4 linked regions of the Arabidopsis thaliana genome follow. The protein of the gene in region 2 interacts with the protein of the main gene of each other region in a pairwise test. Each region holds a gene or a part of one and is shown on either strand. Other genes may lie near its edges.

What was found.
Region 1: the proteins of AT2G37120 (region 2) and LBD27 interact in a two-hybrid assay, tested with the Arabidopsis thaliana proteins (one large-scale study listed by BioGRID).
Region 3: the proteins of AT2G37120 (region 2) and HSFA3 interact in a two-hybrid assay, tested with the Arabidopsis thaliana proteins (one large-scale study listed by BioGRID).
Region 4: the proteins of AT2G37120 (region 2) and BZO2H3 interact in a two-hybrid assay, tested with the Arabidopsis thaliana proteins (one large-scale study listed by BioGRID).

What each region holds. Positions count from the first base shown.
Region 1 is NC_003074.8:17,659,118-17,663,329, forward strand, and holds LBD27 (LOB domain-containing protein 27), read right to left. Parts: upstream 2,238-4,212; 5' UTR 1,891-2,237; coding exon 904-1,890; 3' UTR 896-903; intron 802-895; 3' UTR 563-801; downstream 1-562.
Region 2 is NC_003071.7:15,593,464-15,596,529, forward strand, and holds AT2G37120 (S1FA-like DNA-binding protein), read right to left. Parts: upstream 1,499-3,066; 5' UTR 1,353-1,498; coding exon 1,326-1,352; intron 991-1,325; coding exon 787-990; 3' UTR 501-786; downstream 1-500. Other genes in the region: AT2G37110 (PLAC8 family protein), read left to right, coding at 27-263; AT2G37125 (GRF zinc finger protein), read right to left, coding at 2,832-3,050. UniProt on the Arabidopsis thaliana protein: DNA-binding protein that specifically recognizes a negative element (S1F) within the RPS1 promoter.
Region 3 is NC_003076.8:970,617-976,215, reverse strand, and holds HSFA3 (heat shock transcription factor A3), read left to right. Parts: upstream 1-1,889; 5' UTR 1,890-2,532; coding exon 2,533-2,874; intron 2,875-3,406; coding exon 3,407-4,303; 3' UTR 4,304-4,588; coding exon of another isoform or gene 4,589-4,821; intron 4,822-5,042; 3' UTR 5,043-5,074; downstream 5,075-5,599. Other genes in the region: CTR1 (Protein kinase superfamily protein), read left to right, coding at 61-145, 240-338, 572-640, 744-875, 990-1,084, 1,162-1,258; AT5G03710 (replication factor C large subunit), read right to left, coding at 4,589-4,821, 5,097-5,109. UniProt on the Arabidopsis thaliana protein: Transcriptional activator that specifically binds DNA sequence 5'-AGAAnnTTCT-3' known as heat shock promoter elements (HSE). Involved in heat stress response. Activated by DREB2A under heat stress.
Region 4 is NC_003076.8:10,795,957-10,800,322, forward strand, and holds BZO2H3 (bZIP transcription factor family protein), read right to left. Parts: upstream 2,350-4,366; 5' UTR 2,192-2,349; coding exon 1,925-2,191; intron 1,686-1,924; coding exon 1,595-1,685; intron 1,492-1,594; coding exon 1,380-1,491; intron 1,316-1,379; coding exon 1,240-1,315; coding exon of another isoform or gene 1,158-1,239; coding exon 1,032-1,157; coding exon of another isoform or gene 965-1,031; coding exon 692-964; 3' UTR 501-691; downstream 1-500. UniProt on the Arabidopsis thaliana protein: Transcription factor involved in controlling responses to starvation. BZIP2-BZIP63-KIN10 complex binds to the ETFQO promoter to up-regulate its transcription.

The sequences.
Region 1 (4,212 bases), on a different chromosome or scaffold from region 2:
CGTATGGATATATCAATTATTCTTGAACCATTACACTCGAGAATATTCTGCCATGATTACTAGAGTTCTTGTACAACCAACTGAATGTGACACAATTTTAAGCTGAAGGCTGAAGCCATTCGTAGGGCTGCTCTAACCATCTCTTTGGAATCAGATTCGAGGAATACAATCACATGCTTGTAGCCTATATTTCCAAAACTTAGTGTAGTCCTATGAACATGGCTTCAGCTTCTAGGGAGCATGATACTTTAGGTATTAGTTCGGGATCCAACATCTAACCTACTAACACACACAGTTTCTTGATTATTTCCTCAAGGTTCAACACAAGATCAACATTACATTTTTGAGTTTCATAAATAAGTGGAAGTCTAGTATAATTACCTGAGTAATGTGAGTATCCTCGGGAGCTAATGCATCATTAACATTTGTCTTGTGTCTCTCTTCTTCACTCAGCCATGTTAGATTTTAGCAGAGAAGCGTCCCTTGAATAACAAGTTAAAAACCCAAGAAAAATAAAGCAAATAGAGTTACGTTGCACTAATATTCAAGTTCATTAGAGACTCCAAAAAGATATATTATTAAAATTAGAGAAACTCTGAATTCATAACCTTTAAGTCTCTGACTAAAAGATAATAATAAAATGTCAACAAAAGTATAACAAAATTTCGAGAGCATAATTAGGGATCACGAATTGAGAAATCAATTCAATTATTCACACTGGTTAGACTGAAACAAGTAGCTGCACTTCTCAATTCATTCTCTCCAATTTCATCAATCTGTTCCTTCAACGATCCACCAGAGCTACAACCACCAATATACTCCAATTCAATCACCATATCTACAGAAGAAGAAGAAAATACATATTTCATAGTTTTACAAAGGAAAAAACCCCTACCTTGAGGCCTACGCTTCTTTAGAATCCCCAAATGATTGCCTATCGTCAATGATATCAAGAAACTGATGGAGTTCATCGTATTCATGATCAGCTTCTTCTTCTTCCACTCGCTGATGATTTGATACCATTTGCAGATTTACGAGCTGTGATTGTATTGCCATTACACCGTTACTCTTCATCTCATGACAGCTCTCGTTTTGGTTGCTGTATCCTCCTCCATTGTTGTTGTTATACAGAAATCGATTCTGATCACCCCAAACATTGTTATTGTTGGTCAGAATCTCCTTGCCCGAATCTGTATTATAAGCAGGAGGACTATAGCCATTGTTGTTAACCTCACTGCAGCTATAAGTGTAAGACATTTGTGGCTGTTGTGTTTCGGAAACTGGTAATAATGAACTAAAGAATGGTGTAACGACATTGCTCTGATTATTGTTAACGTTAAGTCCCATACCCAAGTCAAGCTGCTGCGATGTAACATCTTCTTGCTGCTTATTATGATCACTACCAAGCTCATGAATCATCTGATTATGATTATGGTTTTGGTTTTGATTTTGACCGTTTTGTGGTTGAGAGCGATATAGTTGTAATTGAGAATTGACAGCTTTGAGTTCTTCTTCAGCAAACCAGATCATGTATTGAAGTTGTTGCGTGACGCCGAGGCAACCGTGGACAGGAGAACGGTCACGGACATAAGACTGGAAGATGATTGATTTCATTGCTTCTGGTTTCTGAGTTTCGTCTAGTTTTTCGAGGATCTTGACGATACTTCTTACGCCGAATAGCCTGTGAACGTTTTGGAAAAGTTTCGGTTGTTCGGCTGGGAAGTAAGGCGCGAGGGGGCAGTCCGCGGCGCAGCGTCTACGTTGGTACTTGCACGCGGCACAAGCCCCACTCGTGCCGCCTTTAAGAGTCATGTAAACTATAAGAGCGATCAAGAGAAGATCTAAAAGCCTCTCCTGTAACCCTTTGTGGATGTGTTTTGTATTGCTCATTCGATGGGAACAGAACAAGAGACTCTGGAGAATTGAGAAATGAAAATGAGGATTTTGAAAATGAGAGATGTGTGCGTTAGTGTGTCTGTGTGTTAATGGTTTTTGGGAAATGAGAGAAGGGAAGAAGGAGAAGTAGTCTGGTATATAAGCCGGATATTTCTCTAGTAAAGAAGACTAAGTAAAATACAGATTATAAGATTGATTAAAAAAAACGTTGTTTGAGTATCTTCAGGGGAGATTCTTGTTTTTGAGTTTGTTTTTGTTTACTAATAATAGTTGCTTTGTTTTTACTTGATATAACAGTAAATATATCTTACTTGTTTATTTTTTGAGTTTTGGACTTGATCAAGTTTTTTTGAATTTTGTACTTGATCATCTTGATATAAACAATTTTGGGACCAAGTTATTTAGGTTTTAAATTGGATTGAGTAACAAAATAATTATTATGTTCAGTCTTATCTTAATTGAACTACTAAACATCTAAAGTTATATTGAATTGATTTTATTGAAAATTACAAGATTATTGAAAATCTTGTAAAATCTCCCTGGATAAGAAGACTTTACAAAATTTTGGAAAAACTAATCATAGAAATTATACAAAACTCTCTAGTAATCATTTAAAATCTTTAATTTATCTACTTTCAATATATTTTTAAAGTCATTAAAACTCTTTTTATAATCTTGTAAAATCTCCCTGAATATAATTATAAACTTTGATTTGTGATTTCTCCAAAATTATAACATATCACCAAAATATTGTATACTATTCTTCCATCTTCTATAGAAGGTATCTCCACTAAAGTGAAAATCACACGCATAAACACAAAAACTATGGTATTCGTAAGTAAAGTTACATGAACAGGGAACCATCCATGAAGAACTTGAAGTTTTATTTTCAAATATTTTGTTGGATATTTACTTTTCATGTGTTAGATTAAACTGCTTTGTTCTAAAAGTTGTTTGTGTGTTGATTTTCACATAGATTACCGGAGCACATGTGGAACTTGAGCCATTAGAATATATATATTGTCATCACTGTTAATAAGATTTCTGCATCTGTTCGTATCATTGGCTTTTGTTTATATCCAAAGTCATGATTCACAATCTCTCTCTTTTTGTGATACTTTTCATGATTTTAATTTGTGAAGAAAAGAGTATAAAATCATAATCCAATAACACAATATTTTAAATCATTAACAATCATGAAAACTGTTTAAGTTGAATAACACAAAATTTGTAATGACTGTATTAAAATATGAATCAAATAACTCCAGATTTACAAAGACTTTAAGTTACTTTTTACAAATCAAAATCTAACAACACCAAACTTTAACAGAGTCTTATAAAATTTTAATTGAATAACAAAAAAAATTTCATGACATTTCAAGTCACTAAAAATCCATATAAATCACAAACAATAACAACCCCTAAAAAGATTTTGGAAAAACTAATCATAGAAATTATGCAAAACTCTCTAGTAATCATTGAAAATCTTTAATTTATCTACTTTCAATATATTTTTAAAGTCATTAAGTGTGTGATTGGTTCATCTGTAACTGTAGATTTTTGCTGTAGAATTTTTGTTGTATGTGTGATGACTGTAGCCATAGATTTTATTGCTGTAGAAATTAGGCTGTAGATTTTATTAATTTAATATTATTACTTGAAGAAATTGGTTGTAGAAATAAGATCATGGTTGTCTGTATATTTAAACAAAAAAATATTATTGGTAAATTGTACTTATGTGTTATATAATAGAATTCACAAATATCAATTTAATATATATATATAAACAATGTAAGTTATATATATGTCATAAAGTAGATATTTACCTATTATTTATATCCATAAAACTAAATTTAATATATATATATATATATGAAAACTATAGTAATGTTTTTTAAAAAAATGAGAAAAAAGTGAAAAAAAGAGAAAGAAGGTATAGACCTTCTAAAGACCATAAAATTGTGCTTTAGAAAAACATGAACTTACAGACAAAATAATTAAAAAATATTATTTGGGCTCTGAGAAAAAATAGAAAAGCTAAAGAATGATTGTTTAATTTTGGGGTTGTAACTTTTTTAGTGGCTTTAAAAACTTTTTACAGCCCAACCAATCATGGCCTAAAATTCTTTCAAAATCACAAACCAATAACACTCCCTAAACGTGGAAATTGAACAACAACAAAACCAAGCGTGTAACAAATTAATTAAGAACTAGTTTTTAAGCTTCAGACATAAACACACATTGTTGAGAAGTCGAGTCCCATAAGATCATATAAATATATTTATCAAAATTGATATGATCTTATACAAAACGACC
Region 2 (3,066 bases):
TGATTAACTCTTTTGGGTAAAAACAGGGAAGCTTTGAGGCTATGAACAGGTCTTGTGGTTGCTGCGGTGGCTGCATAGAGGACGAGATGCAAAGGGAACACTTGGAGACGACTTGTGACTTTGTGACACATGTCCTTTGCCATACATGTGCCCTTTGCCAAGAAGGGCGTGAGCTCCGCAGGAAGGTTCTTCACCCAGGTTTCAATGCTCAGTCCACCGTTGTTGTGATGCCACCCATAGAACAAACCATGGGTCGTAAGTGAAGCTTACATAGAGTCGAGTGGTCTAAAGAGCACTTGTAATATTGAGTCGACTGAAGCTTACACACGTTGTGAAAACAAGTGTTTCTGTGGAACTTGAATCATGATCCTTGTCTTTTGCTTACTTTTTGAATAAGGCCTTCTCTGGATGTAATTTGTCGTGTGTCTTTCTTTTGCTATCGAAAAACAAACATATGTATATCTTTATTGCTTACGCATTTCTTTTGACATTGTCTGAAATGTTCATTTGTTTCACAATTCGCAAAGCCTAACATTGACGTAAGAGTTTTGGGGAAACCCTTTGGATCCGACAAAAGGCAACGATATATGGACAAATAAAGTAAAGTGAACATGATAGACTCTACAACTGCAATCAAATATGTGAAGGGAAAACAGAAGTTGATGAGATTCAATTTTTGTAGTCTAACCAAAACAGAACAAGGGACGTTTGCTACTCTCCCATACAAAAGTCTCAATGACATTGTGATTACAGGTTAAAAACACAGACTGTTGAAGAAGCTGGAATCTATTCGCCGGGCACAGGGACTCCCTGCTTCAGCTTCTCACGCTTGAGCTTCTTTTTGGAAAGAGGCTTCTTCTTCCTTGGAGGTAGATTCTTCTGAGCATACATGTACATAACGTAATTGGCTATGAGAAATGTCACAAGCAGACCTCCAATAACAAGCAGCACTATCAATCCAGGGTTCAATCCTTTGGCTTCAACAACCGCCTGTAAATTCACAAACAATGTATGCAACAATCCATACCAAAGTGAGATATTTGACATCATGTAAACCTAACGAAACTAATCCATGAATACAATTGAAATTCCCTGTAAATAACCAGATCATGTTCAAAATAAACAATGCATGCGAGAGGATCATCAAGATCAAGACAACACAACAAGCAACAGATTAAATTGATGATCTTCTTCTATTCAGCTCATAACAGATCTAACAATAATAAACAGAGATTTGGAACTTAAAAACCAATTATGGATCAGAGAGGAGCGTGATTGGTAAACACAGTTCGATTTCATCGGAAATTACAAATACGGAGACGTACCTTTCCGGCGGAACCATCACTGCTCATGGCTAGTATCCGGAAATCTGAGAATGCCGGCAAAGAAACGAGTCGGAGATTCTTCTGTAAGGAACTGAGATCTGTGTTTCCGACGAGAAAGATTCAGACAAAAGACAAAAAAGACATGTATACTTAGGACAAAATAAATAAATTATAAAATATTAATTCATTTGCATCTTAGTAAAATAGAGAAGCCCAATAAGTAACATTTACTTCTATATATTATTACATTATTACAATCAGATGACTTCAAAATTTATTTACTACATACAGCAGATTATCTTCACATATCACATGATGATTGAATTAACAAAGGGAAAAATGTCATTAAAATCCTGAACTTTGCTAAAACGTTGATTTAAATCCCGTACTTTATTTGAAACGAAAAAAACATCGAACTTTTGTTGACTTTTCTAATAAATCTTAAACTTGTGTTGACCGCGCCATTTTAGTCTTGTCGTTATCTGGGTTAACAGACTTAATTGACAGGGTTAATTAGACGTTAACAGAGACATAATTTGCAAACGACACAGTTTCGGTTTTAGTAAACGACGTCGTTTTATCAAAAAGACTGAACTTCCCCAATTCGATTTGAAAAATCACGAGCCCTAAAAAACAAAAATTCTCAATTCTCTTTTGTCGATCGAGGAAGAGAAATTCGAAACTGTAATGATGAGAAAGAAGCTGCCTGCTGATGTCGACCCGCCTCCTCCTGTTGTTGAGCCGCCTCATGTTGTTGTCGAGCCTCCGTCTGCTTCTATCGAGCCTCCGTCTGCTTCCATAGAGCCTCCGTCTGTTGCTATCGAGCCTCCGTCTGTTGCTGAGCTATGACGTGCTTCTGTCGAGGCTCCTGCTGTTCACGAGCCTTCTACTAGGCCGTCTCATTCTGTCGTTGACAATAGGAGAAGAAAAAAATCGAAACAGAATGGTAACAGGTTAGATGGTGACAATAGAAGGAAAAAATCGAAAAGGAGTAGAAGGATGGAGATCATGGTTTGAGTGTTCAAACTTGACATGAGAACATCGATTGGTCTTTGGTTGTTGGTATTTGGATTGTTTCATAACTTGAGATGTCTCTTTTGTTGTCTCTTTTGTTGTTTGATTTTTGGTTCGGCAAGTTTTAAGACATGTTGGTTAACTACTTTTAATCACTCATAGTTTTAAGACAAGTTTTTGTTTGAGTGAAATTATTCCATCTCTTTACTCCGATTCTCATATCAAGACCAAACACTCACACCGACCAAACACTCACACCTTATATCAAGACCAAACACTCACATTCACCCAAGAAAAATAAAGACCAAACACTCACAAGTTTTATTAAGACAGCAACAAAGCCAACATTACAAAGTCATAAAAGTCACAAATACTACATTGTCATTACAAGCTTGCCGAAGACAACAAGATAGATAGACCTACACTATTAAGCAACAACAAATTCATTTTTTTTTGCCTTACCAAGCATCATGTAAAGAATGAAAATGCTGATCAAACAAAGCCAAAAAAACATATTTTCAAACACACTTTCCACTTGCAGATTTCTTGTTTACTCAACATTGCTTCTTCTTTTAGTTCATGTATCATCACAATTAGCTCATTTGCCTCGGATTTGGCTTTGTTAAGCTCATTTGCAATGATCACAAATTTTGGTAAAACATCTTCAACCTCTTCGTATACAGCATCCTCAACCCATTTAAACAAATGACTCTGTTACACAATCAAA
Region 3 (5,599 bases), on a different chromosome or scaffold from region 2:
TGTACTGAGTGTAGAATTTTGGCCTATAATGACTCTAATACCATGATTTCTTTCAAACAGAGGTAGTTTATACAGACTTTTGCATAAAAGTGGAGCAAGGGAGCAATTAGATGAGAGACGTCGCCTGAGTATGGCTTATGATGTGGTATGTTTAATTCCTTATGTTACATGTATGGGTGATTACTTCCTGATCTTGGTGTTTCTTCACATGGAACTTTCTTTCCAATTCTCTGTCACAGGCTAAGGGAATGAATTATCTTCACAATCGCAATCCTCCAATTGTGCATAGAGATCTAAAATCTCCAAACTTATTGGTTGACAAAAAATATACAGTCAAGGTTTGAATCTAAATTAGAAATTGTTGTGTCCAATGTTTTGATTTTGATATTTTATTCCTCTTGTGAGACAAGCTTATATATAAATTATGATTTTTAATTCTAAATTGGTTTGGAGACATTACAAAAAGGCGTTAATCTGCTGAAACTTAAAAGATACAGCAGCCTCAAGCTGTCGTCTTAAAAACAATCAGAACATTATTATTCTAACTCCTCAATTTGTCTTGAAATTTCAGGTTTGTGATTTTGGTCTCTCGCGATTGAAGGCCAGCACGTTTCTTTCCTCGAAGTCAGCAGCTGGAACCGTAAGTTCAGTTTGTTTGAAACTAAAACACGCTGAACAACGTAACTTTCTTCTAGGTCCTATTTCCAATGGAAGCTAAATAATTACTGACTTTGATATATCAGCCCGAGTGGATGGCACCAGAAGTCCTGCGAGATGAGCCGTCTAATGAAAAGTCAGATGTGTACAGCTTCGGGGTCATCTTGTGGGAGCTTGCTACATTGCAACAACCATGGGGTAACTTAAATCCGGCTCAGGTACTTTCCACTCTAAACATCTCAAATAATAATGATATTATTTTGCATTTGGAAGTCCCTCACTCTACATTTCATAACATGCTATATATGATCATACAAAAAAATGTTCCATAGGTTGTAGCTGCGGTTGGTTTCAAGTGTAAACGGCTGGAGATCCCGCGTAATCTGAATCCTCAGGTTGCAGCCATAATCGAGGGTTGTTGGACCAAGTACGTTAAGATTTTCTATCTCTTTTTTGAATTCTTCTTGAATAGACTTCATGTTTATGTATGTGTTTCATTACCAGTGAGCCATGGAAGCGTCCATCATTTGCAACTATAATGGACTTGCTAAGACCATTGATCAAATCAGCGGTTCCTCCGCCCAACCGCTCGGATTTGTAAAATACCCCCGGTCCATTCAAAAGTTGTTATAATCATGATATGCACATATACTCTCAGCATTCTTTTGCTGCCCAGGAGGGAGACACTAGTTAAGATATAGCTTTAAAGGTACATTCCTCATGAGCTATCAATCATATCCTACAGAATCCCATGGTTTTTATACATGTATTATTTTTGCGATCTTTGTCTGCTGTTTTGTTCCCTTTTTAATGTTGCAGATTGTTAAAATGTACATGACTATTGTCACAGGGAGGAAAAAAAAATGTAGTAATGGAAACAATGTGAGGGATATAATCTATCTATCTAGTCCCAAAGGGTAAGCAATATTTTGTTGTTATGTCTTTGTAGCAATGCACTGAAAGCTATATTTAATTACATTGCTGTACATTTATACCGCTAAATTAGTTACTAAGCGAAGGTAAAAAAGAGCAGCTGGTAAATGCTGTCAAAGGGTTTTGCAAACTCAATATGATTCATTGGATTTACATTTGTTCACTGTGCGATTAGTCTGGACTATAAACCAACAGAAATGAAATAAGACTGTAACTTTCGGAGACTCTAATACAGATGAATATAATCCCAAATCGTTAAAAACGCATTGGGACTGAAAATATCTAGATACATAGTCAACTATTTTTGCCTTCGCGTCTAAGTAAGTTCCCACACTTGAAAACGACTTTACCTGTCTTCCGAATTAATCGTTTGATGGATCGGTAACCAATAGGATTGCGTAAATCAAAATTATACAATATTAAATTCTGAAAAAGGAAACACGAAAAGCGAATCAGTGATTTGTGAGGGCCCAGTTCCAAATTAGAAAGCTGACCTGGCAAACGCGCTAAATCACTCCTCCTTTCAAAAATCTCAAGATGACGTGGGACCCACCATCGTCACCACTTTCTCTCCTTCACCAAATCACAGAGAGAGAGAGCTAAGTGAAGCTGCAAGGAAACAACTTTCAATTTCAATGTCGGTTGTACAATTATTTGTCACTAAAGTTTCCAAATTTCTTCTAAACTGATGAATCAATGGAACATGATGACGAAAAAGATAAATCCACGGTGGCGGGAACTGACCCACCCATTTCCACCGCCTCTCTATTCCCCAGATTTTTTTCAATTATCTGACTACAGTTTGTCGGTTACTTCCTTCCCTAAACCTTTATAAACCATTAAACCTCTCATCCTTCTTCTCTTAAACCCCCTAATTATCACACACACCCCAATTTCTCACTCTCTCTCTCACTAAAACCCGTAAATTTTCTACTATATCAAATGAGCCCAAAAAAAGATGCTGTTTCTAAACCAACTCCAATTTCAGTACCCGTTTCGAGACGATCCGATATACCCGGGTCTCTCTACGTCGACACTGACATGGGTTTCTCTGGGTCACCACTTCCCATGCCACTAGACATCTTACAAGGGAATCCAATTCCACCTTTTTTATCCAAGACTTTTGATTTGGTTGATGACCCGACTCTTGACCCGGTCATCTCTTGGGGACTGACCGGAGCTAGCTTCGTAGTTTGGGATCCTCTAGAGTTTGCCAGAATCATACTTCCAAGGAATTTCAAACACAACAATTTCTCCAGCTTCGTCAGACAGCTTAACACTTATGTAATCATCTCTCTTGCTCTGTTTCTGTTTTCTAGATAGACTCATTCTTCTTCTTCTTCTTCTTCTTTCAGTTTTGTTTTGTTTTTATGTTTCTGTAATCTTTTTGATGACCAAAACCATTTTGTATAGATTCTTGAAACTCGTTTTTTGATAACTTGTAAAAAATTACCTGTAATTTTCTTTTCTTTTTGGGATTTGTTTAATCTCTCTATCATGTAACACTGAGTTTTGTATCTATGAAATTTTGGCCTCGATTGGATCTTATAATAACTTCTCATCTGAAATAAGCTTGTAATCTTGTATACTTATGGTTTCGTTTGAATGGAGAATTTTGGTTTATGAAGTTTTGTTATTTTCTCACAATGTTAACTTCAGTCTGGTTTAAGACATCATTACTCACATGTTCTTCACACTTCAGAGGTAGAATCTTTCTAATATCTTGAGATATTTGGTCTTGTCTTGATGTAAATGTGTTTACTTACTTTATCTTGAGCTTGTTTGAGTTGTTTTTTTGGGGTTGGAATGTTTCCAGGGATTTCGAAAGATTGATACTGACAAGTGGGAATTCGCTAACGAGGCTTTCCTTAGAGGCAAGAAGCATCTTCTGAAGAACATTCATCGTCGTCGATCACCACAATCCAACCAAACTTGCTGCAGTAGCACTAGCCAAAGCCAAGGGTCACCTACTGAGGTTGGAGGAGAGATTGAGAAGCTGAGGAAAGAGCGGCGTGCATTGATGGAGGAAATGGTTGAGCTTCAGCAGCAAAGCAGAGGCACAGCTCGACATGTGGACACTGTAAACCAGAGGCTGAAAGCTGCAGAGCAACGTCAGAAGCAATTGCTCTCTTTCTTGGCTAAGTTGTTTCAGAACCGGGGTTTCTTGGAACGCCTGAAGAACTTCAAAGGAAAAGAAAAAGGAGGAGCTCTTGGATTGGAAAAGGCGAGAAAGAAGTTCATCAAGCACCACCAGCAGCCTCAAGATTCTCCAACAGGAGGGGAGGTGGTGAAGTATGAAGCTGATGATTGGGAGAGATTGCTAATGTATGACGAAGAGACTGAGAACACCAAGGGTTTAGGAGGGATGACTTCAAGCGATCCAAAAGGCAAGAACTTGATGTATCCATCAGAAGAAGAGATGAGCAAACCAGATTACTTGATGTCCTTCCCATCTCCTGAAGGACTTATTAAACAAGAAGAGACGACATGGAGCATGGGTTTCGATACTACAATACCGAGTTTCAGCAACACCGATGCATGGGGAAACACAATGGACTATAATGATGTCTCAGAGTTTGGTTTTGCTGCAGAAACAACAAGTGATGGTTTGCCTGATGTCTGCTGGGAACAATTTGCTGCAGGAATCACAGAGACTGGATTCAACTGGCCAACTGGTGATGATGATGATAATACGCCAATGAATGATCCTTAGGATCTTTTCATATATAGTTTAGACCAAAAACCCGTTTCTTATCGGGTGAACTATTAATTCATTATTCATTTTGAATGCACTCTTTATACATATATATAATATTGATGAGTTTGATTGTTCCTTTCTTATTCACTTAATCCAGGGTCTAATAACATTGATTATGAAGGATATATAACACAAAATTATGCTTTTATCTGCTTGAGTAATTAAAATTTTTGCAGGTCTGAAGTGGAACAATGTTTCTTTAAAAGGATTTTTCTCTCTGAAGCTGTCTGGTTTAATCATTTATGTCCCAGGTACGAATGCAAAAGCTCTTTCCTCTCTCTCTCTGTCTTCTTCTTCTTCTTCTTCTTCTTCTTCTTCTTCTTCTTCTTCTTCTTCTTCTTCTTCTTCTTCTTCTTCTTCTTCTTCTTCTTCTTCTTCTTCTTCTTCTTCTTCTTCTTCTTCTTCTTCTTCTTCTTCTTCTTCTTCTTCTTCTTCTTCTTCTTCTTCTTCTTCTTCTTCTTCTTCTTCTTCTCCTTTGCTTGTCTGTTGGGGTATGTTTTGTGTCTTGATTGAAGGAATTTGTACCGGTTTATAACAGATTTATAAACTAATTACAAATTCAATAGCCAGTATTCATGTAATCTCGTCTCACGTTTAGCTAACCTGACGATTACACATAGAAGAAACGGTAGGAAACGAAGAAAAATGATGAAACCAAAAGATTTTTTTTAAAAAAAGAAAAACCTAAATGCAGGAAACGAAGCGCAGAGAACGAAGAAGAAGAAGAAGGAAGATAGGAGATTTTTACCCCAGAACTCCATTGTCTTGAGAGGTACTGTGACCTGAAGGAGACGATGCGTCAAAGAAGAAAGTTCTCGAAGAAGATGATAGCGGTTTCGTCTCTCGAGCGCAGTTTTTACTTTTTAGGGCGTGAACTTGCCGTGAAGTGAAGGCTATTAATCGGACCAAGGGATTTTAGGGCATGTCCCTGTCATTTAAATCTATGCAAATCGGTTATATTCATACTTTGAAATTTTACTATCAAAAAGTTGATATGGCCGAGTTGGTCTAAGGCGCCAGATTAAGGTTCTGGTCCGAAAGGGCGTGGGTTCAAATCCCACTGTCAACATTAATTTTTTCTTACTTGGGCTTATTTAGTTTCGGCCCATCGAATATAGATTGTTGCAAGTGAATCTAGCAGGCCATTATAATGAAATTAAAAATTAACAGTGGGCTTTAAATGCCCATTTTGATATAAAATATATGATGACTGCAAAAATATTCGAAATCAGAAAATTAAGACCAAATGAA
Region 4 (4,366 bases), on a different chromosome or scaffold from region 2:
TTCACCTATACTTCTCTTATAATTTGCCCTTTTGGGTTAGTAATCAAAGAAATTGTCGACAAAAAAAAATACGTCAAAAGTACTCCTAAATTTTATATAATATACAAAATTTCTAAATATTTCATGAATATTAATTCTACAAAAGAGCATATTAATTCTTATTAGAGATGTTTTATCCGATCTGAACCAAATCAAAATAATCGATACGAAAAAACGAACATAATTGAATATCTTAAATCATAATTTAAAGGTTACTTTGAAAAAAAATATAAATTAATAAGGTTTAATTATAGTTATTTTATTTATATATATATTTATAATCTAATTCGGATTTAAACAAAAATTATTGATAGAAACCCGATTCTAAGAGCCGAAATTTGGGATTAAACTCGTAATTTCTAGTTTCAATAACCAAAATTATACGTTTGCATCGTTGCCTCATCACCATTTCAATAGTTTCACTAGGTGAAATTGATAAAACTTGTAATTCTTAACAGAAATTAGAAAAACTTTGTAAATTTAACAAAAGACATGTACAATGAAAATTAGAAGTTCAACACAAACAATCAACGAAGAAGACAAAAAAAAATTTAAATAATCTGAAAAAACAATTCTTTACAAAAACATACAACATTTTGTCTTAACATATGTCTTAAGATTAATGTTACAAATCAAGATTCTTCTTTAACAGCTACTGATCCCCAACGCTTCGAATACGTTTCTGCAGATGTTCCAAGCTCTCAACTCTACGCATCGAAGCTGTTCTGTTCATCTTGCACCCTATCAAGGCCTTGCCTTTGTTCCCCGAGCTAATGATCTCTGGTGTAGTCACTTGGCTGCTTGTAGTGTCTGGAGAATTTGATGTCTCTGAAGGAAGAGAGACAGTTGAAACAATCTGAGGCATATTGTGGAACATTGGGTTAAAGCCAGTGAGTCTCTTCACTGTCTCTTCAGCCATTTTCACCTGCCAAAAACAAACATGCTTCAATAGCGAGTTTTGGTAGACAGAGAGATAAAAGAAAGTATTTTACCTTTGCTCGTAGTGTCTCAATATTGGCTTTTAAAACTCTGTTTTCTACAGATGCATCATTGAATGTTTGAGTTACATCAGTGAGACCCTTCATGAGTTTTGAATTCTCTACACGAAGCTGTGAAACCTACACGAAATGGAGATTGTCGCACAAGTGAGCTAAACAAAGTTAAAGGAGAAAGAATAAGAACGCTGCGAGAGTAACATACTTGTGTCTCTAGCTCACTCAAGTGTGCTTGCTTTCTTCTTCTGGACCGTCTAGCTGATTCTCTATTAGAGAGCATCCTATAACAAACAAATTCACGTTCATGTTCATGTTCAAGTCCAAGAAAGGATGTAAATTTGTTACCTTTTAACGCGTTTAACATTAGTAGGGTTCATATTAGTTTCACCATCAGCTTCTTCTTCATCACCAGAGAGCTCAGATCCACTTGTTATAGCACTGCTCATCATTGGTGTAGCTGCATACAGATTGGTCCATTAGCATTTACAAGAAATCTTGAAAACAAACACAACAACTATCAATAACATCTTAAAAGGCTTATCATAGATGTATTGTAAAACCTTTGGAAGAAGCAAGAGAGGCTTGTTCTGATTCATTGGCTCCACCATTGTCAGATCTACCAGAAGTATCCTGAGGTTTGATGAAAGTTCCCTATCAAATTTTCAATATTAACACCACAAAATCAATTAACTAATGCAAATTATAATCTCAAGGAAGATAATGGCAAATCATATACAAAAGGTCCAATAAGATCTTAACACTCAAACATAACAAAACAAGATTAGTTTCTTAGCTTCAAGTGAACTCATCAAACTAACAGATAAAAAGGTTTTGTTTTTCTTTTTCTATGAAAAAAAAAAAAACTCAAACTTGAGCAGAGTAGTGAGTACCCTTTTCATGGCGACAGCAGCACAAGCAAGATTAAGTTTACTCTTGAGAAATGCTCTGTATTCCTCTGAATCTACAGGAACATTAGGAGGAGAGGAGACGGAAACACCACACGCCGTCGTAGATTCTCCGTCGTCTGCAGCGGCGGAGGATTCTTGTATGAAACGATTGAATGCCCATTCGGAAGCACTGCGATTCAACGACGTCATTCCATTAACCGACCAGTGATGGTTACCGGAGATTTCTTCGTCGGAGAAAACTTTTTCCATCTTTTCTCTTTTGTAATTTGTTTGTTTCTTTAGTTTTATTTATTTTTTTTTGGTTTCAAATTGTCAAAACAGTTTCTTCTTATCCGATTGGGCAGTCTTGCATTTTAATAATATGTTCTTTTCAAGTTTTGTTGTTTTGTTAGATATTTAATTGTCTGATTATTACCCTAATGGCCCCGACAAGAGTCGTGTATTTCTATTTACAGCAAAAACTTTTGATTTATTCTGTTAGGTCACTGTTTTCTTGTAGTATCTTAAAAAACGACAGGTCATAATACAAAAAATTATAACGATTTTTATTAACAACAGAACTAATAATAAATAAAAGGAAAAAAGTATCTGGAAATATGGTTTTAGTTATACTAATTTTTCTACTTTTTAGAACAATTTTTAGTTTATAAGATATATAGAATGGAAAAAATAATTAAAGTGTCAAACTTTTTTTTTTCTTTCTTAAAACATGTTTTTAAAAAAGGTGAGATTCGCCTACAGTTACAACGAATAATAATATTAAGATACACAAATTAAAATAGAAAAAACTGATCAGAGTCAAAAAAGAAAATTGTATCCTAGTGGACAATGGAAAACGGAGAATCTACTGCTTAACCCACCTTATCTCAATATCTTTCTTCGATCTCACAATGGCCGACACAATGACCGAGCTACGAGAAAAAATTGTTACTATCACCAACGTCCTCTACCATAAAGGGATTTTTCGAGGTAAGGGATTTTACTCACTCTTGAGCACTCAAGATAAATTCCAAGATTAGCGGTAAAAATCAAAAATAATCGAAAATTTTAAATTTAAAAACGATTCTTTAAGAAAGAAAAAACCGTTAGAAACGATGTAATGATTGTAATTTTTCAGACCATTTTATAAAAAAAATAAATAATATTATTAAGAAAACAAAAATTATTAAGATTATCAGAAATGCAGTCTCCTTCACAAACTTCATTGCCTAATTGTTTACTCAAATGTGTAATATATATCGATCTTATATTCCACGTTTGAAAGGGGACGATTAGGGGTTCATATTTATAAACAACAAATGTTGGTGTATAATTGATAAAAACAGAAGAATATGAGGAGCTTAAAGTAATATTTAAAATATACATGTAATAATATTTGTTTATGCCTTATTGGATTTAATAATATTTTTTTCAACGCTTTTTGGGGCAAATCCAAGTCAGACTGACGTGGCAAGGGGTATTTTAGTCAATTTAAATTTTGATCTGCATCACAAGAATATATAAATAATAAATATTATAGTTGTCGTCGGTTTTGTAACGTAACTTCATTTCATGGGTCCATTTAATATTCCCATTTGCATTTTACAAAGGAAAGGAGAGATCCGAGAGGAACATAATATATAGTTTTGTAAGTGAAGTTAGATTAGAGAAATGTACTAAACTTCTGATTTTTGGATAAGAATCTATCCAAATTCAAGTTGCATATTTTGGTGGGTCCTTTATTTTTGCATATATTAGTACACTTGTGCAAAACCTTTTATCAAGAGAATATCTAGTGAGAGAGAAACATAACACTTGCAAACCAAGTGGATGTTGGTGGTTTGACTTTGAGAATATCAGTAGTTCAACTCTATTTGAAAGAATGATTTACGTTTTATCAAAGTACGTCTCTATTACACCATTAGTAGAATTTTGTAGACTTTTCTATGTTAAAGTGGTTTAGAAAAATCTCAAACTGTATAATTTCGTGTGACATTTTGTCTTATTTTAGGAAGAATTATTATGTAGGTTAGGTTATGAATCAATTTCTAAATCATTCTTATTTTGACCTGGTGTCATGTTTAAGGTTTATTAAAAATCCGATGAATGGACTATTCAACGGCTACACTCAGAGTTGGTCCTAAAACCCAAAATATTTTTTGCCTATAAATATTTAAAATATAGCAAAATGATGCATTGGAGACTTAAACCTATAACATGAGAAACAAAAAAACCCGGAAAAATCACTGTCCTACAAGAAATTTATAGTTTTGGTGCTTTCAAAATGAAATATATATTTTGAGGCTTAAAACCCTTAATTGTTCAGCTTTAGATTAGGACAGACAGTGGATACATTTACTTTGAAAAAGTTTGTCGATGGTAAAACTGGAACACCCCTGATTATCAGATTTTTTTTTTTGTTGTCTTACTTTCAAAAGAGTAGGT